2 linked regions of the Coturnix japonica genome follow. The protein of the gene in region 1 interacts with the protein of each later gene in a pairwise test. Links are inferred from orthologs where the notes say so. Each region holds a gene or a part of one and is shown on either strand. Other genes may lie near its edges.

Region 1 (13,292 bases):
AAGAACATTGCAAATACACAGCAGTGTAGGCAGGAATCTTCCTTTGAAACACCACTGCTTTTCCTCTCTGAAGAACTATATGTGACTTGTTTACAGTTCAGTGGTGCTTTGCAGGACTGAATCTTTGGGAATTCTTGGAGAGTGTTTGGATATTAAACTATTATGCAGGAGAGCATATATGTCTCATGTCTCTAGAACATCTGAAAACTTTGGGTTGTAAGCAACAAACTGAGGTACTTTGAGGTTTATGTGCAGATAACAAGAGACTGAATTCAACAGAAGTTGAAGCTGTTGTTTACCAACAGATTGCAACAATAGGATGACATAGGTATAGAAGGCATTTAGTGTTACCATCTTTGGTAGATTATTATATTAATAAAAGGAGTTAATGCTTATCTTCATCAAAGTTAAGACTATCCCATACCATATTAGATTATAAAACTAAATGTAAAATCGTATGGCATACGGTTAATTAAGCTTTCAGAGAAAATTACTTTTGATGTACTGAACTGTCTGGTTTTCTTTTTAGTAGTTTTACAAGCTATGATGCTTCTACTATTTCCCTTTTCAGTAGGAATTTGAAGCAGAAACCTTTAAAGTCTCAGGCAAAAGTTGAATCTGAACAGGAAGATTCTTTCAGTCAACCTACCTCAAGCAGAGCAGCCTGTGTTGCAAGCCATAAGACAAATGCTAGCAATTACAACCGTAGTTCGTCTGGAGAATCCTCTGATTCTGCATGCCTGACATCCTTTGAAAGGAATGGAAAAGCAAGATCTACAACACTAACAAACCGTTCAACACTGTCATCAGGTAATCAATGGAATCTGTTTCAAATGAGGGTTTTCATCTTTGTCTTATCTATGCGTTGCCTACTAATGTTTCCCTTACAATTACCCTAATTGCCAGTGTATTCTAAATTAAAAATGCAAACATTAACAATGCAAAAACTTTGGATTTTTTATGCAGTTTGCATTTCAGGGAATACAAGTGTCTGTGTGCTTTGACTTACTAATCTATTATTAAAAAGTTCTGTGTACTAAAGAATATTGTGCTGTAAAATCTCACAGAATGCAGTTGATTAATTTCATTAATGAAAAAAGTATTCCTAAGAAGAAATTTATTGCTACCGTAGATTACTTCACAGTCAAATAGACAGTACTTTTCCATAGCTTTGTATGGAGATTGACAGCAAAGCTGAATGAGTAGGACTGTTGATAAGTTGACCCACACACCTTTATGACTTGATGCTCCTTAACCAAATACAGTGATAGAATTTTTTCACTTTGAGCAGCTGTTCTCGGAAAGTGGTTGTGGTGAATGGGTGACTCTTGAGAGGAAAGCGTGGTGTATTTTTTAAGGTGCTTTCCTCTTAGAGGTGTTTTCAGATAACATACTTGCTATTTTATTTGAAACTTAAATACGTCTCAGAGTGACTTAACACCATACACTTCACAAATGTGGAATGGTATACTTTATGGAATTATCAGTTTCATATGTGCAAGAGATTAAGACATGATAAAAAGTGTATTCTTAGATAAAATTGTGAGAAAATAAGATTTCCAGCATAAGTGAAGTGCACTTCCTAAATGAAAACTAACTGTTTAACTGTTTTAGAACTGTATTCTAATTGAGGATTTAATTTTTTTTTTCAGCAGAAAGTGAAGTAGAAGGTTCTTTAGTTTCATCTACATCCTCTTCATCCTCTTCAGAAGAGAGCTCAGAAGAGAGCAAAGAAAGCTCTGTGGCTCTCGTGTCACCTCCACTGCACAATGGTGTATGTAGAAGAAAGAGCACCAATTGTAGGGTAACCAGAAATCAAGCTGCTCAAAGGAAACAAATAGGTAAGACTGGAGTAGTTGTCTTCTGAATGGCCCATGAGCCAGATGTATGCATGTGTATGTATACACACACACGCACACATGTACATAGAAAAATAATTGTAATTAGTATTTTTTGAACTGTTGTATGTTGTAGTACTATTTGTTTGATTACTAGTAGACCTGTTGCTCTCAAAATGCTGCTTTCTGTACATCTCACTTTTTGTTTTTCAGTCCTTAGGGTAAGGAGGGCTGAAACCAAGAGCCTACTGAGAGAGCATCTCTTGAAGAGTTTTGTTTGTTAAAGCTCTAAAATATAAAGCAGTTTTCAAAAAACTGTAATGAATCTAAAATTCACGATATAATTGTTGGATGCAGCTGTGGGCAAACTGGGCTTAGTAGTTGGTGACCCTGCCCAAGGCACGGGGGTTGAAACTAGATGGTCTTTGAGGTCCTATTCAACCCAGGGCATTGTATGGTTCTGTGATATAGCTCAGTATTTTTTCTTGCCAGACAACAAAACCACCTACCTATTACTAGGGGAATGTGCTTTGTTTGTCATGTCTGTGAGTTGAACCTGTTCCAGATTTGATAAGGCTGAAAATGTGACTACTCCTGAACATAAGACTTTAATCCTTCTCCTTCACAGGTACATTTCCCCAGGAGAATGGGAATGCAAGAAAAGCTGTCAGGAAAAGGTTATATGAAAGCAATTCTGAAAATACTTCTGTGGTGACATCTGAGTCTCTGAGTAATAGTACAGGGAGACATAGAAAGATCCCACGCAGAAGTGCTACTGTGGCTGCTACTAAGTTAAGACTAATGAGTGATGTGGAAGAAGAGGTTTCAAGCTCAGAAAGTATTGGTATTGGATGCAAAAATAGAAAACTGCCTCATCGAAATGCCTCAGCTGCAGCCAGGCGAATGTTACTGGAGGGGTCTGAGGATGATGCAGGTTTGAAGTCTGAAAGTGAAAAAGAAACGGAAGAGCAGCTTACCAAGAGGAAAGTTCTTTCTCTACCTACTTCGTCTGCTGTACGAAGAAAATTTGTAAGTGAATCTGAAAATGAGAGTTCAGATTCTGAGACAGATACACAGATGAAACAGAAAACCTGGCAAAGCAATGGCCATAGGCAGTTACGAGGGACAGCTCCTTCTGTGTCTCCCGAAACAAGGAGTCCCACACAAGGCTCTTCAGAGGACTCCAAAAGCCATAATTCAGAGGATGGGAGCAATCAGAAAGCTGAGCAATCAGTGTCTGCAAATAAGTTTGTTGTGAGCAACTCAGAGGATGAAGCGTGTTCCGAATCGGATACGTGGAATGCCAGAAAATTGTTTGGTCTGCACCTTGTTGCTCCCATAAAAAAAGCAAAAGTCTTGAGTGATTTGGAGGACACAGCAGAATCTGAAACAGAAGACAGACAGGATGGGAGAAGTGTTGTTTCAGAGACCTTGGTGCCATGTAGAATTATAGCGAGCCCTATTTCTGGACCTGGTGCTGATTTCAATGACTCTTCTGATACAGAATCTGAAACAAATTCCAATAACAGTAATTATTTTGATGCTTCTTCAAAAACAAGAAAGTGGAAGAGAAAAGGAAAAACAAAAATCTTCCAAAAAGGTAAAATAATAATAATAATAATAATTTTGAGTTAATGCATCTAACCTCACGTACTGACTAGGCAGGGGAAATTTTAGTGTGGGTAATGACTGCAGGGATTTGGACTCTATGAAGTGTAATGGTGTTCCTTGTCCTAAAACAAGAACTAGAAATCAGCAGGTGAACTGTAAGAAATGGTGATGCTGACAGTGGGACTGGGAGGTCAGCAAAACAGCACTAAGGAAACGATTAGTTTTTATGGTGGTGGTTTTTCGGTATTTAGAATTAGTGATGAATGCTGAAAGTTCTTGAGCAATTCGGGGTTTACATTTGTCTATGAAAAAGTCACTAAGTCCCTACTGTTTTCATATTTAATCAGTGCATCCTTCTCTGTGTATGTATTAGAAGAATATGTATGAATGAATTATCTTGAGCTTCACACAAGAGATCTCAAAAGGAGAAATTTATTGTCTTTCATCAGTCTGCTCCTTGGTTTAAAACATTCAATCATGAAAATCTGTGAGTTGGTGGATGAAGTAGTAGCACAGGCCATATGAGGAGAGGCTGAAGGAGCTGGGATTGTTCAGCCTGGAGAAGAGGAGGCTCAGGGGAGACCTCATTGCTCCCTACAACTGCCTGAAGAGATGTTGTTGTGAGCTGGGGGTTGGCCTATTCTCTCATGTAACTGGTGACAGGACTAGAGGGAATGGCTTCAAGCTGCACCAGGGGAGGTTCAGGCTGGACATTAGGAAATACTGCTTCTCTGAAAGAGTGGTCAGGTGTTGGAATGGAGGCCCAGGGAGGTGGTGGAGTCACCAACCCTAGAGGTATTCAGGGAATGTTCGGATGTTGTGTTGAAGGACATGGTTTAGTGGGAGCTATTGGTGATGGGTGAATTAGCAAGCTTGTACTTGTAAAAGCTATTATTTGTGTACTGTTGGTATATATACATGCTTTTTTTTTGTTTGTTTTTAAGCCCTTTAGTATTTATTGAACATAAATTTACTTGGATATTTGGCTGTATGTAAGAGGCTGTGTATGTGACTCAAGGGATGGCTGGATATTCCTACCCAGTATTGTAGCCTGGACTCCCAGGTTTAGAATTTGATAGCATGTACTACAGGACTGCTTGTCACAACAGTAGACTGGGTGGATAAGGCCTTTATATCTTGGTGTCTGTCTTGTAAATGTTTTCTTGTAGATCCTAGTTTGTGACTAATGGAGTTCCTTATTTGATCCTCCCTGTCTGTACAATCTTTTTGTACCTAGGCAGCATTTAATGTGAATTAAATGTGTTTTGTTTTTCATCTAGTCTCTTAGAATACACATTCATGGCATTATTTCTTTATAAAGAGTTGAGGGAAAGTATTGTCCTGTCCTGACTTCATAGGTCATGTTCTGGGGAACCCAGGAGCCTGAATAACTTCTAACAGTGATGAATGTAGTAATCTGGCCAGGAGGAGCCAGGCACTGAACCTCACTGGAGTTTGTCTCAGACAGTCTCTTAATGGCTGTCATTCTCAAAAGATGCTAGGCCTTTAGTTTTAGTAGTTGAAATAGCATTAGCAAGACAAGCTTTCTTCATCCCTCTGTAAGAGAAGAGCATTCCCTTTAAACCTTCTTCTCTTTAAATGTTTACTTGAAAAATATTTAGTGGCCTATCTTTCCTTGAAGTAAGAAAGGAAGAGCTGCCGTAGCTTTCCATCCATCTGCAGATTGTACAGGTAGAGAATCATCAAGGCAGTGGGTTCAAGCTATGGTAAAATTGATTGTTATTTCTATTACCAAGAGGTAATAGTCTGATGTAATACTTAAGAATAAAGAATCTAAAATTTATAATAACTCATTTTGAAAGAGCAAGTAAAAACAGTAATAGAAGTTCGAGCTTTAGTGATGGAAGTAGGAGTACGAGAAAGGTTGTAGGTTAAGCTGGTAATCTGTAAGGCAGTTTTTATAGGGATGCTACAGAATGCTACTGTACAACCTTTTCTTCATATCAAAGCAAAAGACTAATCCTGAGAATTAAAAACATGCTCAGGACTGAGTGTCTGGCTGTTTCCTTAGTAAAGCCTTAGGGTAGATTGCTCATAATGGTTGAAATAAAAGCATGTCCTCGCATATTTCATTAAGTGCGGCAGTGTTTATGCTTAATAAATGAGCTATTTCAGGAATGCAAGTTATTAAAAGGAAATTCAAAATATTTTGTTTTGTAGAATCTACATCTGAGGAGCCTGGACAAAGTGGGAAAGTGCTCAGGAGCAGGACCTGTATCATTAACTACAGGAAACACATAAAGGTGTCTAATGTGACGGAAAAGAAAAATCCACGCAGATGCGCCACTGTGGCAGCTAATAAGATTAAGATAATGAGTGATACAAAGGAAGAGCTATCGAGCTCGGAGAGCGTTTGCACAGTGAAAAAGAACAGAAAGCAGCTTCATGGCAGCACGTCTGTGGCATCCAGGAAAAAACTGACCAGCAGCTCAGATATAGATGTTAGTGTGATGTCTGAAAATGAGAAAGAACAGGATTCTGATGAAAAAAATGATTTTTGTTCTGGATCGTCTGCTCCTAAGAGAAAGTACATTAGCGAGTCTGAAGATGAAAAAACAGAATCTGAGGCGGAGGTAGAAGTGACTAAAAAGGAGAGTGATGATAACGAGAGTCAGACAAAGAGAACTAAAAGCGACGCGGCTCTTAAAAATACATTTGACTCTTCAGAGGAGAATTCCACAAACCACAAGGTAGAAAATGGGAGAAATTGGAGAACTTCTGGTCAGTCAACTTCAGCCTGCAACCATCATACGAGCAACTCTGAAGAGGAGGTGGGTTCTGAGATAGCTAAACGTGGAACTAAATCTATCAGAAGAGCACGAAATAAAAAATCCAGAGCTCCTTCGAAAAGATTAAAATTATCAAACAACCTAAAAGAAACATCAGAATCTGCGGCAGGGAGGAAGGCAGAGGAAAAAAGCTCACTATCAGAGAACGTGGAAACACCTGGCACTGCAGGGAGCTCAAAAGCCAATCGCGATTGTTCTTCTGATTCAGACTCTGGAACTGATAACAGTATTTATAGTGACGCCACAGAAACAAAAAAGAGAAAAACAGACATTGTTAGAAAAGAAATGTCAAGTTTACCTAAGCCTTCCAGAAGACCCCAGCGAAGGAAACGTCGGAAACGTAACCAAGAAAATAATGACTCTGAAGATTTGGAGTACAGCAAATACAGGAGAGCTAACCGGCGTACTAAGATAAGAACTCGAAACAGGGGTAGGCGGACTGTTAGATATGACGATTGTGACGATGATGACGATGACAGAGGTGTAGGTGATGCAGCTTGTAAAACGTAACCTTAAAAGGAAAAGCCAGCCCACTTTTTTTTTCTTTTTTTTTTTTTTTTTAATGGTAATAGCACTAGAACTCATGTTGGATGCTGGCTCTTCCTTGTCCTACATTTCAGGGAATATATTTATATTTTTCTATGAAAAAGTTATGAATGTGATTAGATCATGACTTTCTCCTTTTCATATTTTGACTTGCACTTGCCTGCCCATGTAGCAGCATTTAGCACAGATGCCAAAATGTGCCTCATTATAGGGGCAATTTTTTTTGTCTTTACTGGTATTTTATTACATATAACGAGAGTTTAAAAAGAAAAAAAAAAAAAGAAAAGTTAAAACACTGCGTAACAGGTTAATAGCAGTATGTTGAGTATTATTGTTATGGGTGCTGCAATGGAATACTACCTAGGTCATTCAACATTCAAGAACAAATTTCAGACATCTCTTACGCTGTAAGAAATCATATATGATATTAACAGGCTTATAAATAATAGTGTACGCTATAAAAATTCGGTGGATGCTAGTATCGCATCAGACAAGTAATGAGCAGTCACTGAGTTAACGACATTACAGCTTCCGCTAGTACAGATGTTAAATGTTCTGTACATTCATTAATGAAAACATACAACTAGAACCAGTTACCAGTTGAGAAAAGCCTATTTGCCAATTCAAAGGCACATTGGTGCTGGTGAAGAGAGGATTTATACTGACAGGTAGTACTATCATTAATGTGACTTCTATACTGTAAACTTCAGAATATGAAATGCAGGTGAACACTTGGGCCTAAGGGTTTTTTGTGTGTTTTCTTTATAAAATAGAAAAACCGACAAAACACTTGTTCTGTTTGTTGTTGTTTTTTTTTTACGTGTGAGAAGTTGGAGGTGCAGGATTCGTACATTCCACACCATTTCTGCAAAATCTCTGTTGGTCTTCCACATTTAAACTTCTAAGTGCTTTAATGTTAGATTTTTGCATTGAATTAAAGGTAAAAGTTTGGATTGCTGCCGTTTATTGACCAATTCTTGAAATGTTTGAGGTGGCTGCTGTCAAAAAATAATTATTACATAGAAGATGAATTCTTGAGGAACAAATTCTTGGGGATAAAAGTCCAGCTTCATAATCACACTTAATATATTACTAGGTGCTTATACAGGTGGCAGTGAAGTAATGAAAGCTGTGGCAGCAGTTACTGAGAAGCACTTCTCCAGCACTTGTTATGCCCAAAGGTGCAACTGACCACGTTTTGGTGGTATCTAGAACATTATCTCAGTATAGACAAGTACTATTAGTTCATGAAATAGGAACACGGTTCACTAACAACGTGTTCTCTGTTGGAACAACAACTCCTATCGATTTGGCTTGGCTCTAGTGGGTGGGCAGGGAGGGCTGAGGCTCCTCCCGCCGTGCCCTCTGTGGTAAACTCCATGGTGCCGGTTATGCAGAGCGGCTCGGCGCGCATGCGCGGTGCCCGCCCACTGGGGAGAGGAAGGAGGGAGGCGGTGACGGTGAAATGATGGCGACGTTCTTCGGGGAGGTTGTGGTCGCTCCGTCCCGGGCCGGCGTGGACGATGAGGAGGAGACCGAGGAGACGGCAGAGGATCGGGAGATCCGCAGGGAGCTGCAGGAGAAAAGGTAGCGGCCTGGGGAGCGAGCGCTGAGCAGCGCCTTGTTTCCCGGTGGGTGCTTGTAAGGCCGGCCTCTCTCGACAGGGAGATCGCCGTGCTCTGGACGCCGGGAGCCGCGGGGAGCCCCGCCGAGGAACCCCTGCCCTGCTCCCGGTTCGTGGTCGCCGTAGGACACAACGCTGCCGGTAGGTGGAAAGCGTGGGGATGGAGCCTGGAACAGGCTGCCCAGGGAGGTTGTGGATGCCCCGTCCTTGGAGGTGTTCAAGACCAGGTTGGACGGGGCCCTGGGCAACCTGATTTAGTAAATGTGTATGTTTGGTGGCCCTGCCAGGCAGGGGGGCTGGAACTACATGATCCTTGAGGTCCCTTCCAACCCGGGTCATTCTGTGATTCTGTGAATGGCCAAAGCGCTGTCCTTGTGCCTGCAGCCTCTTGGGTTGGGCCGTGGTGCGGTAATAGGGTGGAGGGAGAGAGCTGATTTATAGTCGTTTGATTCAGCAGCGTTTTTGCCGCTATGTTTTGCATGCTCATGTGTCTGCTGCCTAAAGCCAAAGATTCAGTTCTACTTGCTGACTGCATTCCTGTTATTTTTTGCCTGAGAAATCTGTTGAATCTGATAGTTAAGAGCTATTAAAGACATAATATTCATTAGCACGTGCTCTTGGTATATTCTGAAGGAATCCAAGTTGATTGTGGCGATACAATTCTTAATGTGTGTTGTTAATAATAGAGATCTCTACCTATATATAGAATCATAGAATTACCCAGGTTGGAAAAGACCTTGAAGATCATCAAGTCCAACCGCAGCCTAACCAGTACCCTAACTCTAACAACCCTCCACTAAATCATATCCCTGAGCACCACATCCAAACGGCTCTTAAACACAACCAGGGATGGCGATTCAACCACCTCCCTGGGGAGCCTATTCCAGTACCTAACTACCCATTCTGTAAAGAAGTTCTTCCTAATATCCAACCTAAACTAGCCCCACTCTCACTGTAAGCACCTTTCAGGTACTGGAAGAGGGTGATAAGGTCTCCCCTCAGCCTCCTTTTCCACAGACTAAACAGCCCCAGCTTCCTTAGCCTCCCTTCAAGAACAGTTCTTTATGTCTTGAGTCAATGAGATTACTCACGATCTTTGCTGGATATGGTTGATAAACATGTGTCAGTAAAAATGTTTTTACTGTACCTTTTTAATTTGTGGATATTGAAAAAGAAATATCTCATTCCATCTGTTTATTTGTAGAACAGAGATTTTTATTCTTGGTAAATTAACATTAGGATTCTTTGCAGCTTTCCTGTCTTCTTTTATTCTGGATTCCGTACGTTGGAAAGTAGTTGGAGCTGTGAAACTGTGGAATGAATGGTGCCAAACAACCAATGCAACAAGTGTCCTCCCAACAGATTCTTTCTGCTTGTTCTATCAATTAATATCAGATCCAACAGTAAGTGACTTAGAATTTCTCTGTACTTTAGCATTGTGAAAAAGGGAGCAAGCTCCTTTCATCCCACCTTGCCCAGCACAAATGAAGGATAAAACATTACAGCTGCAGCATTTTGGATTAACCTCACAAGCAAATGTGAAGGGTCATTATGGTCACTAAAACCACTTGCAGTTCTAGTGTGAGGAGTTTAAAACAAAGATGGTATTACATGGTAGAATGTTTCATATGAGGCTATGAATGAAAAACTCGTGTTAAAATAGAGAATTCCAGGAATACCAAACAAGTTGTTGGTTGCTGTCATACCATCTTTGCATGTGGTATTTATTGTTGTGTCCTATAAACCACTTACTCAACCTTGTTTTTCTTTATCAGGTTTTGTTGTGCCAGTGTAGTTGCTATGTTGCTGAAGATCAGCAGTTCCAGTGGCTTGAAAAGGTATTACTGCAAGACAACATATTGAGCAATGAGATCTTAGGACTGGGAATCTTCAAGTTAGTGCATCTGCCTCTTCTCTCTACTCTTCTATACCTGACAGTACTGTAAATAATTTTGTTTTTTTACTATGGCTTTCTTAAGTACTCAACAAATTCAGAATTATCAATATCACAGAATCACAGAATTGTAGGGGTTGGAAGGGACCTCTAGAGATCATTGAGTCCAACCCCCCTGCCAAAGCAGGCTCCCTACACCACGTCACACAGGTAGGCGTCCAGGCAGGTCTTGAATATCTCCAGAGAAGGAGACTCCACCACCTCCCTGGGCAGCCTGTTCCAGTGCTCCGTCACCCTCATTGTAAAGAAGTTCTTGTGCATATTTGTGCGGAACTTCTATGTTGTAGTTTCATCCCATTACCCTAGTCCTGTCCCCACACACTACTGAAAAAGAGACCAGCCTCACCACTATGGCTCCCACACCTCAGGTATTTATAAACCTGGATCAAGTCCCCTCTCAGCTTCTTTTTTTTCAAGGCTAAAGAGATCCAGTTTCATAAGTCTTCTCTCATAGGGGAGATGCTCCAGGCCCTTCACCATCTTAGTGGCCCTCCACTGGACTCTTTCCAAGGATCTGTCTTTTTTGTACTGGGAGCCCAGAACTGGACACAATATTCCAGATGAGGCCTCACCAGGGCAGAGTAGAGGGGAAGATCACCTCCTTCGACTGCTTGGACACGCTCTTTTTAATGCACCCCAGTATGCCATTGGCTTTTTTGGCTACAAGGGCAACACTGCTGGCTCATGGTCAATCTGACTATGTATATGTTTACCATAACTCGCAGTGCAGTTACTTGTTTTGGAGAGCTTCAGTTTTGTCCCTTTCCCATTTTACAAACTTTTTCCTATTCATCTTTTCAATGACGTGTTTGAACTGGAATTTCAGCTTTGGGAGAATCCTGTAATAAAGTTATAACATAACTTAATTATTACAGCTGTCAGATAAACATTGTGAAATTCAGGGTAGGTGATATCTTCACTGGGTGTGTGTGAAGAACAGATGGGTGTGATCTGACTCTTTCACAAGGTGGAATTCTGAAAGAACCTGCTTCCAAAGTAGCATCTGCCCCATTTGTTAATATACTCAGATTGTTATATGGGCAGACCTATCATGATTCAAGGATGCAGGTACTGCTAGTCATTCAGATCCTTACCCCTGTGCTTTCCCCCTGAATAATATCCTTTTGATTTTAACTAAATAAATCCGAGGGGAATTTTCAGGCTGTTGATTTTGGATGTGGATCCCGGTCCCATCCTTGCCTCAGAAGAAGCATGGCTTATTTGGTTGTTGTGTATTAATCTTGCAGGCAGCTCAGCACCACACTGAGCCCCCCTGCTCTCGGTGGGATGGAGGAGAGAACTGGGGGCAAAAAGGAGAACTTAGAGGTAGAGATAAGAACAAAAGACAAAACTGTTTACTAAAAAAATGAGAAGAGAAAGTAATGATGGTGATTATATATAGTGTGTGTGTGTTTACACACACAAAACAAGTGGAGCACAAAACAGTTGCTTGCTACTGCTGACTGATGCCCAGCCAGTCCCCAAGCGGCTTTGTCTTACCTGCCAGCTGGCCAGGCCAGCATGTAAGGAGGATTACCTGGGTGCAGGGGAGGATTGTACAAGAGAGCCACAACAATTGTGCAAAGGTGAAGGAGATGAGAAGCTGGGGTAAGTTTGTTGAGTCATACGGGGATTTCAGACCCAAGTTTGTGGAAAACTGGTTTTCTTGTCATTCCATGGCTGGGTGATAAATTTACTTGACCTTGTGAGGCCCCCTCTGGAGTACTGTGTCCAGGTGTAGAGCCCTCAGTACAAGAAAGACATAGAGATTTTGGAAAGGGTCCAGAGGAGGGCCACGAAGATGATCAGGGGGCTGGAGCACCTCCCCTATGAGGACAGGCTGAAGGAGTTGGGCTTGTTCAGCCTAGAGAAGAGAAGGTTGCGGGGCGACCTCATTGCAGCCTTTCAATACCTGAAGGGAACTTACTCCCAGGAGGGGAATTAAACTCTTTGAAAGGGCTGACAATAGCAGGACACGGGGAAATGGTTTTAAGTTGAAAGAGGGAAGATTTAGGTTGGATGTTAGGGGGAAGTTCTTCACTAGGAGAGTGGTTAGGCCCTGGAACAGGCTGCCCAGGGAGGTTGTGGATGCCCCGTCCTTGGAGGTGTTCAAGGCCAGGTTGGATGGGGCCCTGGGCAACCTGATCTAGTAAATGTGTATGTTTGGTGGCCCTGCCAGGCAGGGGGGTTGGAACTACATGATCCTTGAGGTCCCTTCCAACCCGGGTCATTCTGTGATTCTGTTAGTAGTTGACTTGAAATTTTAGAAACCTTGGAACCTTAAACATGGTGGTTTTGCTGTATTCTGCGCTTCTTTGCACTTCATTTAAATTGGGAAAAGAAAGAAAGATTATTGTGGTTTTCACTGTCTCCTCCATTTTTGTTTTTCCAGCTGCTTGTGTATGTATTATTTCAAATGTGGGTGGTTTTGAACAGTAGAAGTGTACAGTTTTAACAAAGTCAGTGTTACTGAGTATTTAGAGTTTACAGCTAAAGTGCTACTCTTTTAGCTTGAGTTACAGGTCTGTTCTGTATAATTTGTAAATTGTCGTTAACTGGAAGTACTGAAGGTCTCCATGGACCAGATATTTTTATTTATGCCATTAGTTCATCCCTACCCTGCTGTGGGATGAGGGAGAAAATTGAAAAGCACAGGGATCTGTGGGTAAGAGATAAGGGTAATTTAATACGAAAGGGACTGGGGGGGTGAGAAAGAAAAGAGAAAAACAAGTAAACAGTAGCAACAAAGCCAGACAAAACAAGTGATGCACAGTGCAATGTAATTGCCACCTCCAGCCAATAGTGGAGCAGTGGCAGCCCCCCTAGCCAGCTCTTCTGGTTTTGTTGTTCAGTGTGACACCACATGTTATGGGACATCCATGTCATCCAGGGTCAGCTGTCCTGGTTTT
Region 2 (17,573 bases), on another chromosome or scaffold:
GACTCTCTTTTGCGTTGTATGTCGTAGGCCGAGACTGACTGACACCTAAGCCTCCAAGACTTGTGAATATTCTGCAGCTATAAACTGCAAATTATTGACATGCAAAGCGAGACATGAACCCCTCTTCGGGAACAAAAGTGAGGTCTGTTAAGTACCAGGAGGACCTCAGTTATCTGTTTACAGCGTAAACCGCATCCAGGGGACGAAGAACACCACCAGCATGCTACTTTGCAAAACAAAACGACTTGCCGTCTTGTGTTTTTATAATGCCTGTATTAATGTAAGAGAAATAAATTAGGAAATATTTTGTTTTGTACTGCCGCTCTTATTGTATTTTTATACGATTTTGGCAGCATTAAATATTTTTTTAAATGGACAACGTGCTGTTGTGTGCGAATGATGTTAGGAAGCAACTGTTAAAAGCTTATTTGGAGCTAGAAGAAATGTTTCACCTCACGGTGTTTCTGTCTTAACTGGAACGTTGCAACATATTCTTGCTAGAATGGGCTTTATGCAAATACTTAATGAATGCTAAGTATTGTAGTCTCAGCTGGGAGGAACTCCTGCACATTTCTTTTGTAATACACCACTAAGAACGTTATTTTATTAATCTGCCCGGTTGATTTGGTAATCCTTATGTTTGCTACCAAATATACACAGAATGTTCGGAGTAACTTTGGGAATGTGTTCTGTTGTTCTGCCTTCAGGGAAGGGGGGAGTCTGACTGCCCACCCCTCCCTGCAATGGATGGGCTGAGGGCCAGGTGCCCAGGTGGAGCCTTTCATTAAAGGGTTTTGTATTGTGCCATCAGTGTGTGTTACGTGTAGTGTTTCGCTTCACATCTATGATCTATCAGTGCTCTGAGCAGCTGGAGTGGGAAGGGGTGAACTGTGGAACAGCCTGAAGTTGGTTTAATGGACTCAGCAGCATTACCAGCCCTGTGCCTTCTGTTATGGGAGCTAAGCTCAATTCTGTGCTCATGGGAGCTCTGGTACTTTCAGATAAACCCTCATTCACTGAAAAGTTGTATTTTGTGAATGTCTAAACTACTGTGTGGTGCGGGGGGTGTTTTACTTGTGATTTGTACTTCATAGGATTTTTGTGTAAATCCTTAACTCCCTGAAAGCAGAAGGAGAAGAAAACTGGAAGGCACGGGAATATGGGACAGTATTTCTGCTACAGTACACAACCTGAAATCCTAACTTGGGTGTGAGGCTTAATGATGAAGTTGTGTTTAACTTCAGTACGTAGCTGAACAAGGGGAGTACTTTAAGCAGTTACTAAAGCTAAGTAAGTGCTCAGCACCATCTGGAAACAGTCACGAGCGTTGGGTTTGTCACAGCTACATTCAGCTTCATTTTGAGTTGTGTGGCTGTGCCTACTTCTAGTGAAGGACAGACGTCTGCCCTATGCCGTAGCAAACCTTGTTGCTGCAGAATGGAGCAGCGGACCCTGCTTGCAGCATTGTCTGCATCTCTGGATGCAGCTCAGCACTTTGTGCCTTTTGAGATTTACATTTTCATTTTTTTTTTGCCCTCTCTTAACTGTTGAGTTGGCATAATACATACAGTGATGGGCAGCACATGCTCACGCTGCTTTCTCTCACCCACCACTATCTCTGATCGCTGTCCAATATGCAGTAACTTGTACTTCATGGTGTGCCCTGAGCGTACTTCAGCCCTTGTCCCACCGTGACTGGATTCTCAAACTGCTCTTCAGGGCTTTAAACGCCATCCTCTCAGCTCAGCGGGTCTTGGGACCGCCTCGCTGAGCACAGGGAACTGAGAGTTCCCAACCAGATGGGCTGTACTGTGACAGCAGCAGTGTGAAGACACAGGCTCAGCAAGTCCCAGCACGTGCCTCACTTCTCTGCGCAGTGCTCTCAAGTTCTGCTGTGAAACATGAAGGCAGAAAGGACAGGCTGCTTCTTGAGACAAAGATGAAATGGGTTTCCAATCGGAGGCTTAAATCGTCTGCTGGAGCCATGCTCAGCAGGCACACAGAGGCTTTTTAATCACAGTTTCTCCTTGCTTCAAAGCAGAACAAGTAAGGCTTGGGATATGAGCTGTCACGGCTGTTAAATGATGGAGACAGCTCCTGCTGAAATGCTGCATCCCACACAGCACTCAGCATACAGCACGATGCATCCTGACTGCTGCGACTATTTGATACCAGCATCCCCTGCTTGCTGAGCTTTCTGTAGATACCCGAGCACCACTTGCCTGTCACCCTTCATTAGGACTAGCCTTCAGGTCATTTGTGCTATTGGTCCTTTTCTAACCAACCACACAAGAGTCGAATGAACAGTGTTTGCAGGTATGAAATACCACTGTGATGAGTTCTATGCAAAGGCCCCAAACGGGTTGTACTTCCATTCACGTTTCTAGCAAAACAATGACAAGACCACGAGTCAGAAGAAATAAAAGGATCAAACCCAAATATGTAGCTTAGTAATGCAACAAGTCCCACTGCAAACATGAAACACAACCAACAAAATAATGGTATTTCAGACTACACCTATAACATACAGGCACCAGGCTGCTTGCTTTCAGGACAGCATGTTACTTTCTTTATATGTCAGGGCACTGAATACATTCTCAAATCAGTCTGAGAAAGCTTGTCTGCCTTGCAAGCTTTTGTTCTGGTGTTTCTGCAGTCCCTGGAAGAAGAGTGGAAACTCTTACCACAAACATCAGAAAACACAGTGCGTGTTGCTCTGCCACTCGCAGCCTCTCCAGCTGAAGCAGCTGTGGCAACACTGGGAACAGAAAGCAGAGAGATCACTGCTGAGCTACACTGACATCAGCAGGAAGGTTTGGGAAGAGCGATCCACAGTTGGCTTAGAAGAGCGGCCCTTTATCTTTCTACAAAGATTCGAAAAGCTGCACGTCAATCAAGTTCCCAGCTACGCTAAGAAAGACACAGTCTCACAGTCTCGTGCGGGTTGGAAGGGACCTTAGAGATCATCAAGTCCAACCCCCAGGATTCGAGCCTCTGTGTAGCAGAGCGGCACTTCTACCACTTGCGCCACAGGGGGATTCGAACCCGGACACTGTGAGCTTTTCTACTGCAGTAACACTTTAACCAAAGAAAAAGGGGTTTGGAAATATTTTATTTAAAAGAAAAAAAGAATTCTTCAAGAAACAACCATGTCAAACCTATTTCTTTGTTCGATTTCTGAAAGTTATTGCTATTTCAATAGTTAACAGGGGTAAAAGAGGTTCTCCCTAAGAATGTATTTACATAACAAATCAGGATACTGTGGCAATTAGTGAGTTATCACCGGTTCAAGGGATAAGTGAGACTATGCTGGAGTGACTTACAGAAGAAATCCAAGCAGATCAGAAGAGCGCAGGTGGGAGACCGCTGCCAAAAAGCAGGCGCCAAGAACTTGGTATTTTCCATTGTGCAGAAGGATCTGGTATTTCCCACTCTGGAGAAGCAGCCATGAAAGACTTTCTCTGCAACAAGGACAGAGTAACTCCTTAACGCTTTAAATAATAATGCGATTTAATGCAATCCTCTCTCTGGCATATGTATAAAAATCACGGGCAGCATTTTAAGTGTCAGTGTCATAGTAGACTGCTTTAGAGAAGAGTATTGCAAGTTCTAAGCAGATGAAATCTTTACACAGTTTCCACCACCTCTGCCCAAGGTTTGTTCTTTGGGTGGGAAACTTCCCAGCAGAATTTGAATCAAAACATATCTTCCATTTGGTCTGCTCTTGGTGACCGCAAGCCAAAGCAAAGGCAGCCAATACAGAAAATGAAAATAGCTGATAGAAAATATGAAAGCTCTAAAACAAACAGCACTTACTCTGATTTTAATTAGCTGAAGCCATTCATTCAGATAGTTCACCAGCCCAAAGGCGTCAGGGATATTGTCCCCTTCTGAGCAGAATTTGAGAAGAACCGCCATGTGGATTCCTCTGGAACAACTGCAACAAAAACAAGCAGGATTTTCTGTTTCTTTACTAATCAAGAACAAATGGATTGATGTATTTAGCACACAACAAGCTGTATATGGTTTGCTTTAGAAGAAGTATTACACTAGAAAGGAAAATACAGATTTCCAGATACTATACATACAAACGTAATCCTTATATATTCATATATATATATATATATATATACATATATACACATACATACACACACTATACTTTTTTTTTTCCTTTCTTGTTTCCTCCAGACTTGCTCGGTTACATTTTCACACTTAATGTTTGCTTTCTAAATCTTGAATTTATTCTTTCCTTTGCAAGGCAAGAATCCTGTGTCATAGAGGGTTACTCGCAGCCTCCTCTACATGGAGTCTGCAACCAGAGCGTTGGCACTTTTGCCCCAGCAGGGCATTTATACAAAGCCTTTGCTACAATCACTCCTTATCCTACCACGTATTTCAAAGGGCAGTTTTGCAGGCTGTTAAAATTTCCACTTCTGCCTCCTACCAATGAAGCAAACTTTCCAAGCCCTGTTTGCTATTGCAACACTCAGGAAAAAAGCCATTAAAACCCACAATCGGAGCTGACTTAAGCATATATTCTGCAAAAACATACACTGAAGTTTACCCTTCCCTTTGTTAGACCAGGAACGCTACTGCTGGTAAATGGCTTTTACCACACTGTTATTTCTGAAATGGTTTTGGTGGGTTGTTTTTTTTCTGGGGGGTAGGGGGGAGGAGTGATACCAACTAGAGGGCCACAAAACAGCATCAATGAGTTTAAATTTAAAGTCCTATGATGTATGCGCTACAACAACTTCAATATTTTTTCAGTTTCCCTTAGCACTGTCCTGTTTTATTCATTTAGACATGAAGTTTTTGTGTGTTTTTGGTTTAGTTTCCTTTGATTTCTGCAGTCCTGGGAGGTCTCAGCTTTCGCATTTCTGCACTGTTTCCACAGCTGAAGTCAGCACAAAGGTAAGCACGGTATTAGGAACTCCTGCTGCTGGAGATAGCACTTTGGATGGGTGACAAAAGCAATAGTTAAGGAAAAAAGAAAACCACACACAAAAAACCCAAACCCCAAAAGCTAATTTTCCACCTGGCACTTATAAAACAAATCCCTTTTGCAGAACTAATATGTTTAGTGCAGTGCTTGAGATTTGCTAGCTAAAATTTGCCACCTGACGTGCTTTTGACACAATTCCTAATGTGCACACATTTTAACAACAGTAAAAATCCACAGCTAATCCATAATAATTTTACTCATGCATCAGAATCATAGAATGGCTTGGGCTGGAAGGGACCTCAAGGATCATCACGTTCCAACCCACTGCTGCATGCAGGGCCACCAACCTCCAGATGTGTTACTAGACCAGGCTGCTCAGGGCTCCATCCAACCTGGCCTTGAACACCTCTGATAGGACACCTGACATCCTTTATGCGTTTATCTCAATGCCACTCACCTCTCAGTAAACAATAATTTTGTGATGCCACCTCCAGGAATATGTAGAACTTTTTCTGCATCGCTTATTCCAGGGTAAGCTGCTACTTTTTCCATTTCTTTCCATTTCAGCTCCTGTATTTGGCCTTTCACTGCTTTCTCAAGAGCTGGTGTGAGCAGGTAGCGCAGCGGTGTCCTAGGAACAAATCATGAATGTGTTCAGTCTGACAATAAAAGACAGCACTGAAGTTATTACTTGTGACAGAAAGAAGCTGCGAGCATTGAGGACCTCAAATCTGCAACGAAGAACTGCAATACTCCCTTCTTCCCCAAGCCAAAATGTACAAGTATTCAGTGACTTCAGGACAATATACACAACTTTCTGCCACAAATATAACTAAGGTATCCTTTTTAAATGCTTCTGTAACTGGCAAATACCAGATGCATAAGCACATAAGTAGGAGATCTTTTGCTGTTAAAATAGTTTACACATAAAAGGTGATTTTTCTTGCTTCATATGGGAACAGATTCAATTAAAGTAAGTACAGACTCCACTGTTATACAGTATTTTTAATAGACTCACGCTACAACTACCCGCAGACTTCAAAAAGCTGTTTTCTGCATGTGTTATTCTCAGTCTTTAGTGACTCTGGTGTCAGAGTTATGCTGTGGTACTCGTGTCCCCCTTCACAAACCAAGGTGAAATAGGTACAACTTATGGCTCAGAATGTGCAAAATGAATATCACTCCTTCCCACTTCATTCCATTTTAGCTGGCTGTTCTTTAAACTGCATGCAAACAGCACTGGGCCTCTATCTGGGATGCACATAGACATAAGCCTCCTTTAAGGCTCTACACAGGGATGCAGCCTGGAGATCTTGCTATACTGAAAATCCTCAACATGCAGAACAATTAATGAAAGGTTAGGAGACTAGCTAATATTCTACTAAATCTCAAACATCTAATCAGAGATCTCAAGCAGCTGCTGGTCCTTGACATTGCTTGCAACAGAAAGAAATAAAGAAGTTAAAGCTGAGACTGACTGTGCAGGCCAAGCACGATGTCCTTACAGAGTATTATTTGCTCTGGACTTTCAGCAGGAGTAAGTTCAGAGACTAGCGCTGTGTAACACGAAACATTTGATACGATATTAAAGCAAGATGTCCTGTCTACACAGCAAAGCAAAATAATAAAAAGTACTACAAAAAGAGGGGAAAAAAAAAAAAGAAGTCAGGCTGCCAAAATGAACATAAATATTAAACAGATCTTTTAAGGACACAAACATACCCAAGGAGCTGTTCGTCATCGCGCTGGTATGCGTGGCTGCTGGACAGAAGAATGACTCTGGCACATTTGCTGCTTTCCACCCAAGAAAGCAGTGTTTGACAGAATGGCTTGTATTTGTCCTTCATGCAGGGACAGAGAATGAAATAGAAATGTTTTGTGTTGATAAAAAAACACCCAAAGCCAACAATATGAGATGTCGTATTTAACGTTCAGCTTTTTATATGTTTTTCTTCACATCCCTTAAGCTCACAGGTTCACATTTACTTTCAAAAAGCGGAAGACTGGCAATTTACCTCATTAAAGCTACACACATAATGATTACACTCATTAAAAGCACACAAATAACAACAGCTTTGTGTGCCGTAAGTACTAGTGGAAACAGCTTTAGAACGGGATGGGATAATGTGTAGATCACACCATATTCTTCCAATTTTTGCCAAAAAGCAATAGCAGAAATTAAGCCATCACAATACAAGATACAAACACGAGGACAAGAGCTGTATGAAGAAAAGAGAGATGGACAAAACTCAGAACATTCTGTGTTCTGTTTGAGACTATTAATAACTAAGGACATGTTAACAATACAGCTGAGTTGTTTTGGGGTTTGGAAGAACAAAACTAAACCTCAGCCCTCAGCGAGAGCAGAAATCAGCTCTGAGACAAAACTGTATCCGACACAGAAAGCGTTACAGCACTGAGCAGAAAAATATCTTGCGAGACTTTGGTCTGGTTTAAGAAAACGTTTCCTAACCTGGCACAGTTCTTCTCATTGTACTTCTTTGCTTTGTTTGAATCATTCTGTAAAACTGACCCAGGGTGCCTGAACCATCTGCACACAGAACTGCAACTACTGACGAGTGAGCTCAGAACGGATGCACGTACCTTTATAAAAGGTGATCTGATCTGCAGAACTACAAGCTTCTTCGAAGGCAATGAATACACTAAAAGGAGAAATAATAAAGCTTTTTAACAAGAAAGAAATCTGGGCTTTACAAACCTGAGGATAACCTGAGAGTTATCAAATCCAATTGCTGGAAAACCTGATTGCTGTTAAAAATAGCTCTTTATTTTTGTGCAATGTCTTCACTGGACTTAATTTCACTTTAATTTAATTAATTAAAAAATTTAAAAAATCTTAATTTCACACAGATTCAAAGGAGTGAATGAAGCAGAACATAAGATCTGCCCCCTTATGATGATTCAGGAAATTCTTCTGTGCAGCTTTACGAAGTTTATGAAAGATTATTTTGAAATTTCTATGATTTAAGAGCATAAAATAGAAGAGGAATTAAAAAAAGAAAGAAACGCCATAACTGAGGTGGAGCAAAACCCAGTGAATTTAAGGGGGAGGAACAGCACAAGGGGGAAAAGACAAACACAGGAGGGAAGTGAGAAATCCCCTTCTACACCAGAACGCAGCTTGCATTCCTGCACCTAAACTATGAGCACACTTCATGTTGCTTAGGATTAAAATTGTTGGGAGTTTTGGCTGCACTGTAACACGATTGTGAGCCAGCCAGCATTACTGGTTGCATATGTCAGACTGGTTATCAAAAATAAAGTAAGGCCTACTAACGGTTTCCTCTGCAAGTACAAACACATTCTTATTTCTAAGAGACTTAGTTACTGAAACTGTTACTAAGGACTTTAGTTTAAGCACAGTCCCCATAAGCAAAATATAACAACAAAAAAAGTAAATGCAACCTTTTTTGCTCTGTATGCTTCTTGCAAACACCACAAGCATTTAGTACACACCTTCAGCGTTTATGCTCAGCTCCATTGAGTTCTCCTTTGTTGTTGCATAAGGATTATTCCCCACCATCGGCACCAGGCAGTCGGTGTAGAAGTAGCCCACTTTAGGCATGCGAAGTGTGGAGATCACCAGATCTACTGCCAGCTGGCCAACGTTTCCTACCGACACTGCTGGCTGAAGCAACAGAAGTCAATGGATTACAATGTGCTTTATAGACAAAATGCTCTCCAAACAGTGAAGGTACAAGACATTTCATTTCTGACTAAATGTGATTTCTTTAATTGACAGCTCATTTTCAGACAAAGATGACCATCCCTTAGGTTGGTCACCCAGAATCACACTGGTCACTTCTGTGAATAACCCTGTCTCTCGCTGTAAACTTGAACAAAGGTTTTGAAACTTTTTTTCCCCCCATATATATATATATATATATATACATATATATATATATATTTTTTTTTTTGGGGGGGGGGGGGGGGGGGGGGGGGGGGGGGGAGGGAGTGGGGAGCATAGAATTGGCAAGTCGCTCTAGAACGCAGAGATTGACAGACCTCAAGTGACACCTAATGGTAACGTTGATATTACACACTCAACTACAAGTCTCAGCTTGAGCAATAGGTAAGAATGAGGCGTCTTCCAGCGCCCTGGTTTCGGCTGGGATAGATTTAATCTCCCAGCAGCTGGTGTAGCAGCGTGTTTTGCATTTCAGGTGAGCCCAGCGCTGTTACCACACTGCTCTTTTGGCTGCTACAAAGCAGCGCTTACAAAACTAAGGCCACTTTGGCTCCTTGTGTTGCCCTGCCAGCGAAGTGCTGGGGGGCCAAGGAGCTGGGAGGGGGAGGAATCAGGGCAGCAGACCCAGCCTGGCCCAGGGGACATCCCATGCCATAGAATCACAGAATGACCCGGGTTGGAAGGGACCTCAAGGATCATGTAGTTCCAACCCCCTGCCTGGCAGGGATGCCATGTGGTGAAGTGCTCAGCAACACAACTGGGGGAGCTGGCTGGGGGCTGCTATTGCCTGGGCATCGCTTAGAGGGTGGTGAGCAATTGCAGCGTGCTTCATTTATTTACGTTCTTCTCTCATTATTATTTCCCCTTTTCTGCCCTACTGTCAAACTATCCCAGCCCACATGTTTTACTTCCCTTCCGATTCTCTCCCTCACCCCCTGAAGGTGTATGTAAGCCACGAGCCGCAGGGATGGGACACGGAGGATGGTTTTAAGCTAAAATGGGAGAGATTCCGGTAATAGGAGGAATCTCCTCACTCAGAGGGCGGGGAGGCGCTCTGAAGAGAGCTGCGGGTGCCCTATCCATGAAGGCGCTCAGGCTGCAGCCCCCCCGACCTCCGCCCCCCGACAACCACTCACCATGAGCAGCGTGAAACCCTCGAAATCGGGGCTGCCGCCATCGCAAGGCACGAACATGCCGGCAAGGCCTGACGGAGACATGGATGCCACAAGGCAACGCGCAGCTCCGCCCGCTTCCCGTCCCCCTCACGCCGCGGCCGTTGGGGCGGAGCTCCTCCCGCCGCCATGGCGCTGCCGCCGGGTAAAGGGTCGGAGCTGAAGCAGCTCATCCAGCAGCAGCTGCTAAAGGTGAGCTGAGACACACGGTGTTTTGCATCCTTGATCGTGTGGTGCCGAGGGGGGGAGGAAATGGGCATTGTCTGCTTTTGTGCCTTAGAGAACTAAGAAGCGGCCATCCGAAGTTTTTAGTTCTTTGTCCCCCTCAGAAGTCAGACGGGAAGCTGTTGGGTTTGCAGGTTTAAGGCGCAGAGCAGTGAATGCGTTCAGGCTCGTTGTGCTCATAACGTTTTTAATTGGTAGAGCTGCTTTAGGGAGGCAGTATGACTTCTTCAGCTGGCTCTTATTTAATCCAAGAACTCATGGGCTCTATGTGCAGAAAGTACTGGCAGTCCTACAGGATGCTTCTTTAGTTGTAACTGCTGTCAGGAACTTCTATCTGCAGCTTGTAAGAAGTTCTCTTTCAGATGGATGTCCATGGAAGGATCCGAGAAGTTCTGGCCGAGACGATACGTGAGGAGCTGGCGCCTGAGCATCGGCAGTTATCCACGGAGGATCTGATAAAAGCCTTAAGACAGCGAGGAATCATCGATGATGTTATGAAAGAACTTAAATTTGTCACTGTGAGAACCTCTTCAAGTGTGAAGATACTTTGCTTATTCCTCTTAACTGATGTGGTGTCTTGTCCAAGTTCTAACACACTAAAAGCATAGAATCACAGAATAGCTTAGGTTGGAGAGGACTAACCCCCTGCTATGAGCAGGGCTGCCCTCCACCAGCTCAGCTGCCCAGGGCCCCATCCAACCTGGCCTTGAGTGCCTCCAGGGCCTCCAGCTTCTCTGGGCAGCTGTGCCAGCGCCTCACTGCCCTCTGAAATAAATTCTTCCTTCTATCTCATCTGAATCCATCATATTTCAGTTTAAAGCCATTGCCCCTTGTCATAACTCTATGCTCGCTGACGAAGAGTCCTTCACCTATTTTCCTGTAGACTCCCTTTATGTACAGGAAGGTACTATTTCTAGTAGTTCAAAAAGGCTTTAGTGACTTGTGATGTTTTAGGACAAAACAGTGTGTGCTGTATTTGGTGTAGTGATAATACCACAGTGTCAGCGTTTGCTCAGTTTTTGTTAAGTCTCACCTATTAGCAGAGGTTGTACAAGAGGAATAACATTTGATTGGGAAGGAGAATGCTTTAAATTATAGAAGGTTGAGGGAAGGCTGCTGCTGCCTCAATTAACACCTTAAAAATTCTTTATTGTGATTCCAGGATGTGAGTGGAAAGGAGAGGGCTTCATCTCCAAAACCATCAACACATTTTGTTGATAGAGAGCCACCGGTTATGAAAAAAAGTATGTTGCTCATTTGTTCTCATATTTCTGGGTTGTAGTTTTGATAGAAATGTCAAATGTAGGATTATTGATCTTGGAATTAATAATACAACATGAACTGGATTCGTTTAAAGCCTCCAAAGAGGAGAAAAATATGTCTTGCTTATCTAAAGGATGTAAGTTTGACTGATACAGATTCAAGTTTTATGTGACGTTCATGTTTCATTTATTTTACGTTAAAATAGCATCCATGTATTTTAGAATCACTTTCTCCTAGGGACTTATATACAAAAACTTTATTATTTCTTTTTATTTCTCTTCTCCTGTTGGTTAGCTGATGTTTAACATGCTTCCTGAGATCTGTTTGTAGTCTCTTCATTTTTGTTGCTACGCTTTACAGCTAACATTGACCCAACACGAAGGTATCTTTACCTTCAGGTTCTGGGTGGAAAAGCTTTTCTGGAACATCTTCAGGAACCGGATCCTCTGCCTGGCCAAATCTGTTCTACTTTTACACTATGTCTTCATTTCCGAAATCAGCGTTTCCGTTCTAAACCCGTTCCCTGTGCTTGTGAGCCAGATTTCCATGATGGTTTTTTACTTGAAGTTCACAAGGAAAGCCTAGGTAAGGAACATCATGACTTTAAAGCTGATGCTATGTTGTTTCTTTTCATAGAATTACCCAGGTTGGAAAAGACCTTGAAGATCATCAAGTCCAACCACAGCCTAACCAGAACCCTAACTCTAAAAACCCTACACTAAATCATTTTGCTTTGTTTCACTGGATTTCTTTTTGACTTTATAGTTATTCCAAAACAGGTCTGAAATTATGTAGTGTGTTTCTTTCCTATTTATTACTAAAATTTTTTGTAGGGAAATTGATGACTATTAGATTTCACTTCTAGATCCTTCTCTATTCTTACCTTGTCTTTTCTACTCTGAAGTTACTGCCATGGTCCTGGGCTTTGGGTGTTCCTTCTTGAGCAGGGGTTAGGCCAGCTGACCTCCATAGGTCCCTTCCAACCTTGAGCATTCTCGTGAAGGTGGATAGCAATTTGTCACCATGCAGAAGGAAAAACTTTACTTTGAGCTCAGTTTGCTATGAGTTGTTCGATGACTGACTTCCACGGTTATCTGTCGCCTCTATTGCCTTTCTGCCGTTGGTAGCCAGGAAATGTGGTGGCAGATGAATGTTATGAGAAGAATTCTGGAATCAATAGTGGTGTATAATAAATAGACCTGAAGCATTCCATGTTTTCAAGAGTGCAGTTATTTACCTAAAAAGTAGTATTATTTTAAGGAGGACTTGGGGTGATATTCTGGCTATTTAATGTTGCTTTATTTCTGGCAGGTGATGGAAGTAAAATGGTGGATGCAACAACTATGTTATCTGTATGTGATCCAGTGCATATGGTTCTGATCAAAACAGACACGTTTGGTGAGACAACGCTGGTAGCGTCCTATTTCTTGGAGTGGCGATCTGTCCTGGCTGCAGAGAATGGCATCACAAATGTTGCTGTTGAACTCCTGGGTGTAGGTAAGAATAACTAATGAGCATTTAACGATGAGTTAAAGTATTGCGTACTAAGTTTGATTAGAAGCTTAAAGTAGTATTTATGGTTTGGTTTGATTTCAGTTCAGCTAATCAACTCATGAATTACTTTAAGGTATCAACTCATGAATTACTTTAAGGTATCCTTAAGAAGAGTTTATATAAAGGACTAATGGTCAGATTTTTGTCTTATCAAAGTGTTAAGAATGTGTGTTCCAGATCCTGTGCAATAGTGGTCCCTGTACCTGGGAGCCTCTGTTATCTCCAGGATGTGGGTAAACTATCAAAACAAACATAAATCAACAAATGCGTCTCCAGGAAAAATACCGTGTCAGTGTTCTCAAGTGTAAAATCTAGCTTGTCCTGTGTAGCAGTTATGATCCTGCTCTAACCACAGTGATCTGAGCAGTGAGTTGTACATTCAGTAACAATGGGCACTTGTACACTGTGGCTCTTCCAGTCTATTTGTAGGTGCCTATTCTAGCCCTTACAGAACAGCATTCATCTTGTATGTTCTGGTATCACCTGGAAAGAGGCCCTTAGGGCTCAGATCCAGTTACCAGCTTCTTTAGCCAGGTTATCATTCCTTTCATTCTTGAGTAGAATATTTCAGTGAAGATCTTTGTGTTGTATGTACTTAGAGAAGTTTATGGGGTTTTATTTTTATGATGGTATGATTAAAACTATTATTTGTTCTGTGTCAAATGAATTTGAAAGGACTGATAGGAATGTATTTTGGTTCAAAGGTACAGAATCAAAGGTTTCTGTCGGTGTTTTGAACATCAGACTTGAAATGTATCCACCACTTACTAAGACTCTGTCTCCAGAAATAACAAGCACTCAGGTAAGTAATATGTAGGGGGTGAGGGATGGCCTGTTCTTTTATCAGCAGGGGGGATGCACACTGTACAGTTATTTATGTAGATAAAGGGTCGGTTACTCTACTTGAAAAGCCAGTAAATGGTGGCCCAAAGGTGTTACAGATATTATTCCACACTTAGCAAGGTGAGTAGTCCTTCTATACAGATATGCGTCACTGAAGATGAACACTACTTCAGTCAAGCTTGATATATCAGCCTACAAACAAGAAATGTAAATTGAGTTTTACATTCATTGGATTTTCACTTTAAAATACTATTCTTTAGCATTGGTTGCATGCTGTCATATTAAACTTCATTTTTCATATGCAAGGATCATGTGCTAGTATGTATATTGATTACTTTTTGTTCTTGTTTGGAATTATTATATGTGTGAATGGTTGTGTGTATTTTCCTACCTGTAGTTTACTTTGGAACGTCAGAAGACAGCAGAAAAAGAACGTTTATTTCTTGTGTATGCTAAACAGTGGTGGAGAGAATACCTGCAGATCAGGCCTACACACAACTCAAGGCTGGTAAAGATTTTTGCACAGGTTTGTATATTTTACAAATACACCAATCTGTTCTTCAAGGTGTTTTTTTTAGTCTTAGCTGCATGTTTGAAGTTTGTGTATGTAGAATTTGTATAGATTTATGATGTGGTTAGATTCCATTCAGGGCTACATGTGATACAGTATGCTGACAATGAAGTTTTCAAGACTTGAACTATGTATACTGAAGCTGAAGAGTATGTTTCATAGAGAAAGGCTGCTCCAAGCACCCCTGGTGTAGGAGGTAGAAAAGCCATTTTAGTCTTTTCCTTGAATAAGTACAAATGGCAAATGCTTAAGTGATCTATACAAACTATTGCAGACAGGTTTTATACAGTAATAAGTAGTGGAGTTACTGGATATACTGGAGCAGATCCATATAATATTTGAGCACTCTGTGGTTAATAAAGTAATCTGGCTGGTGAATGTTGCATGGTAGTTACAGATGTGAACAAATCATTGGCTAGTAAGTTACTGTGTTGTAACTTACGTCACAATCACATCAGTTGTTCCTTGGTGACTGCCCCTCAGTAGTAGGAATGGTATGGGACTATAAGGACAGGCTGAGGGAGCTGGGCTTGTTCAGCCTGGAGAAAAGAAGGCTGCAGGGTGACCTCATTGCAGCCTTTCAGTACTTAAAGGGAGCCTACAAACAGGAGGAGAGTCAAGCCTTTGAAAGGGTAGATAACAGACAGCCAAGGGGAAATGGTTTCAAGTTGAGGGAGGGAAGATTTAGGCTGGATGTCAGGGGGAAGTTCTTTGAGAGTTGTGAGGTGCTGGAACAGGCTGCCCAGAGAGGCTGCTGATGCCCCATCCCTGGAGGTGTCCAAGGCCAGGTTGGATGGGGCCCTGGGCAACCTGGTCTACTATTAAATGGCAAGGTTGGTGGCCCTGCCTGTGGCAGGAGATTTGGAGATTCTTGATCCTTGAGGTCCCTTCCAACCTGGGCCATTCTGTGATGCTTTGTGTTTATCATGCTAATATATGAATTTAACTTGTAGAGCAGCAATTTTCCTGGCACAGATGATGAAATAACTTCCGGAAGCAATCCACACCTGCTGTTTGTCTTCAGGGAAGTGAGGTCTTCTCTTCTGGCTTCACCAGCTGTGTACGGGAGTAGTGTCAGCTTCCACGTAAGGGTGTGGTGCATTCATCTCACTGCTGAACACACCTGGTGCAGCCGGAATGGAAGCTTCACTGGAAACTAACAGTAGATAATGGATTGCTTTAGGAAGTTTTAATAGTACTATTATTTCTTTACCACGTTCAGGATGAAAATGGAGTAAACCGTCCGGTATGTTCATATATCAGACCACTTCGAGCGGGCCGGTTGCTAGACACACCTAGACAAGCAGCACGATTTGTCAGTGTCCTGGGTTATGAAAGAGCTCCTGTCATCGGAGGAGGTGGTGGCAAACAAGAGCAGTGGTGCACACTTCTTGCATTCGTATGTAGAAACAAGGTATGTAAAAACAGTCTTTGCATGACAACTTTTATAGTTGGAATGAAGTTAGTCATTTAAAACAGGTTGCAAAAGGTGGACTGAATCCATTTCAGAGAACTCATAAATGCAAATAGCTTTTATAAGATCAAATAGTGGCAGATGTTAAGTATTAGACAAGAGGGCTTTGGAGCTGACTTACTTTATTCAGTGCTGTTGCTTGAATCCTTTTTTCAATGAATCCATTGGACATCATGTGTAATGGTTCCTTAAGGGGGGAAAAATAAAAGCCATCATCACAAACATCCCCTTTTCCTCCTTCAACCCAGCTTATGTTGCTGAGCGCTATGACATGTGACATGGGACATCCTTTGGGTGGTCTGGATCAGCTGTTATCCTGTTTCTGTCCTCTCAGTTCCTTGTGTACCACAGCCCTTTATGGGCAAGGCAGCATGAAGAACTGAAATATCCTTGTGTCTGTGTAAACGCTGCTCTGCAGCACCTGCAATGGTGTGCTGTCAGCACTGTTCTCATAAAAAATCCAAAATGCAGCACCATATGAGCCTCTGTGAAGAACAATAACTCCATTGGAAGTTGTAAAAGCCTGATATACTTTGATATGGTGCATATTAAAAAGAGGAATTCAAGATTCTTAAGTTTGTAACCTTGAAGTCCTGACTTCTGGTGCATGTTTTAGGTAAATAGGAGGGAAACGCGACTTGTTAGATAACAACTGGAGAAATACTGCTTTCTTTTTCTAATGTTTTTAGCTATGCCTGATAGTCAAACCAACATACAAACATTTACTGTCTAGGGTGACTGTGAAGATCATGCCAACCTTCTGTGCAGTCTTCTTCTTGGCTATGGATTGGAAGCCTTTGTGTGTGTAGGAACAAAAGCAAAAGGAATCCCTCACGCTTGGGTAATGACCTGTGGAACCGATGGAACAATTACTTTTTGGGAGAGCTTAACGGGACATAGGTGAGTAAAAAGCAAATAAGAAAACTAAGCAGTACCTATTGAGATTTGTGTAGTTCTTCTGGTGGGTTTGTGTGTGTGTGTGTGTGTGTGTGTGTGTGTGTGTTTGTGTGTGTGTGCTTGTTGGTTTTGTCTTGTTTCTTTGTCATATTCATTTCCCTGTCTTGTCATTTAATCAAATATCCAGGAGACTTTTGTCTGTGCATCTTTGCTCTGTATACTTTTGTTTTTAGGATAACTGCTTGAGCGTGAGGTGAAGTATTTCATAATGTGCTTTTCAGTGGTTTTAAGCAGGATAGTAACTTTTTTGCCTCTTGGGGCAACTGATGGTTGTGTGGAACACTGCTTTGCAACACCGGTAGGCCTGGGTTCGAATCCCCCCTGTGGCACAAGTGGTAGAAGTGCCGCTCTGCTACACAGGAGGCTCGAATCCCAGGGGTTGGACTCGATGATCTCTAAGGTCCCTTCCAACCCGCAGAGGGTTTTTCTCTAGGTATGGTAAAGGGAGGACGGTTGGACTAGATGATCTTATAGGTCCTTTCCAACCTTGTGATTTTGTATTTTATAATGTGGAAGCTGTACTAATGTGTTGTTGCAAAATGTAATTGCAATGGTAAAAAATTTAGGTTATGTTTTTAAAAGGAGAAATGATTTACTTCTGTCCTACTGAAGTACTTTGTAGCCTGCCTTAAGATACCAAGTGTGTTAATAAAAAATTGGATGTCTTTCATCAGGTACATCCACAGACCTATCAACCCCGATGACCCTCCAATAGTTGAACAGCCCAAGCCGTTGTATCCTTATCGCACGATAGGTTGTGTCTTCAACCATCAGAAGTTCTATGGAAACTGTCAGCCCACTGATGCAGTGGAGGTCTGTGTGTTTGACCTACAGGATGAGTCTAAGTGGAAACCCAT

The links.
Region 2: the proteins of PSMG1 (region 1) and PSMG2 interact in binary tests that used the Homo sapiens proteins (3 or more experiments, as listed by UniProt). The link is inferred for Coturnix japonica from reciprocal best matches to the Homo sapiens genes PSMG1 and PSMG2.

Annotation. Positions count from the first base shown.
Region 1 is NC_029516.1:97,183,399-97,196,690, reverse strand, and holds the start of PSMG1 (proteasome assembly chaperone 1), read left to right. Parts: upstream 1-8,208; 5' UTR 8,209-8,270; coding exon 8,271-8,392; intron 8,393-8,469; coding exon 8,470-8,570; intron 8,571-9,680; coding exon 9,681-9,832; intron 9,833-10,204; coding exon 10,205-10,267; intron 10,268-13,292. Other genes in the region: BRWD1 (bromodomain and WD repeat-containing protein 1), read left to right, coding at 572-810, 1,653-1,841, 2,467-3,438, 5,631-6,769. UniProt on the Homo sapiens protein: Chaperone protein which promotes assembly of the 20S proteasome as part of a heterodimer with PSMG2.
Region 2 is NC_029517.1:87,441,448-87,459,020, forward strand, and holds the start of PSMG2 (proteasome assembly chaperone 2), read right to left. Parts: upstream 9,928-17,573; 5' UTR 9,875-9,927; coding exon 9,794-9,874; intron 8,598-9,793; coding exon 8,426-8,597; intron 7,612-8,425; coding exon 7,553-7,611; intron 6,790-7,552; coding exon 6,671-6,789; intron 5,580-6,670; coding exon 5,406-5,579; intron 3,938-5,405; coding exon 3,817-3,937; intron 3,462-3,816; coding exon 3,342-3,461; 3' UTR 3,324-3,341; exon of another isoform or gene 3,093-3,323; intron 2,660-3,092; 3' UTR 50-2,659; coding exon of another isoform or gene 28-49; 3' UTR 1-27. Other genes in the region: CEP76 (centrosomal protein of 76 kDa), read left to right, coding at 9,959-10,021, 10,417-10,572, 11,217-11,298, 11,678-11,902, 12,629-12,814, 13,576-13,673, 14,112-14,240, 15,508-15,699 and 2 more. UniProt on the Homo sapiens protein: Chaperone protein which promotes assembly of the 20S proteasome as part of a heterodimer with PSMG1.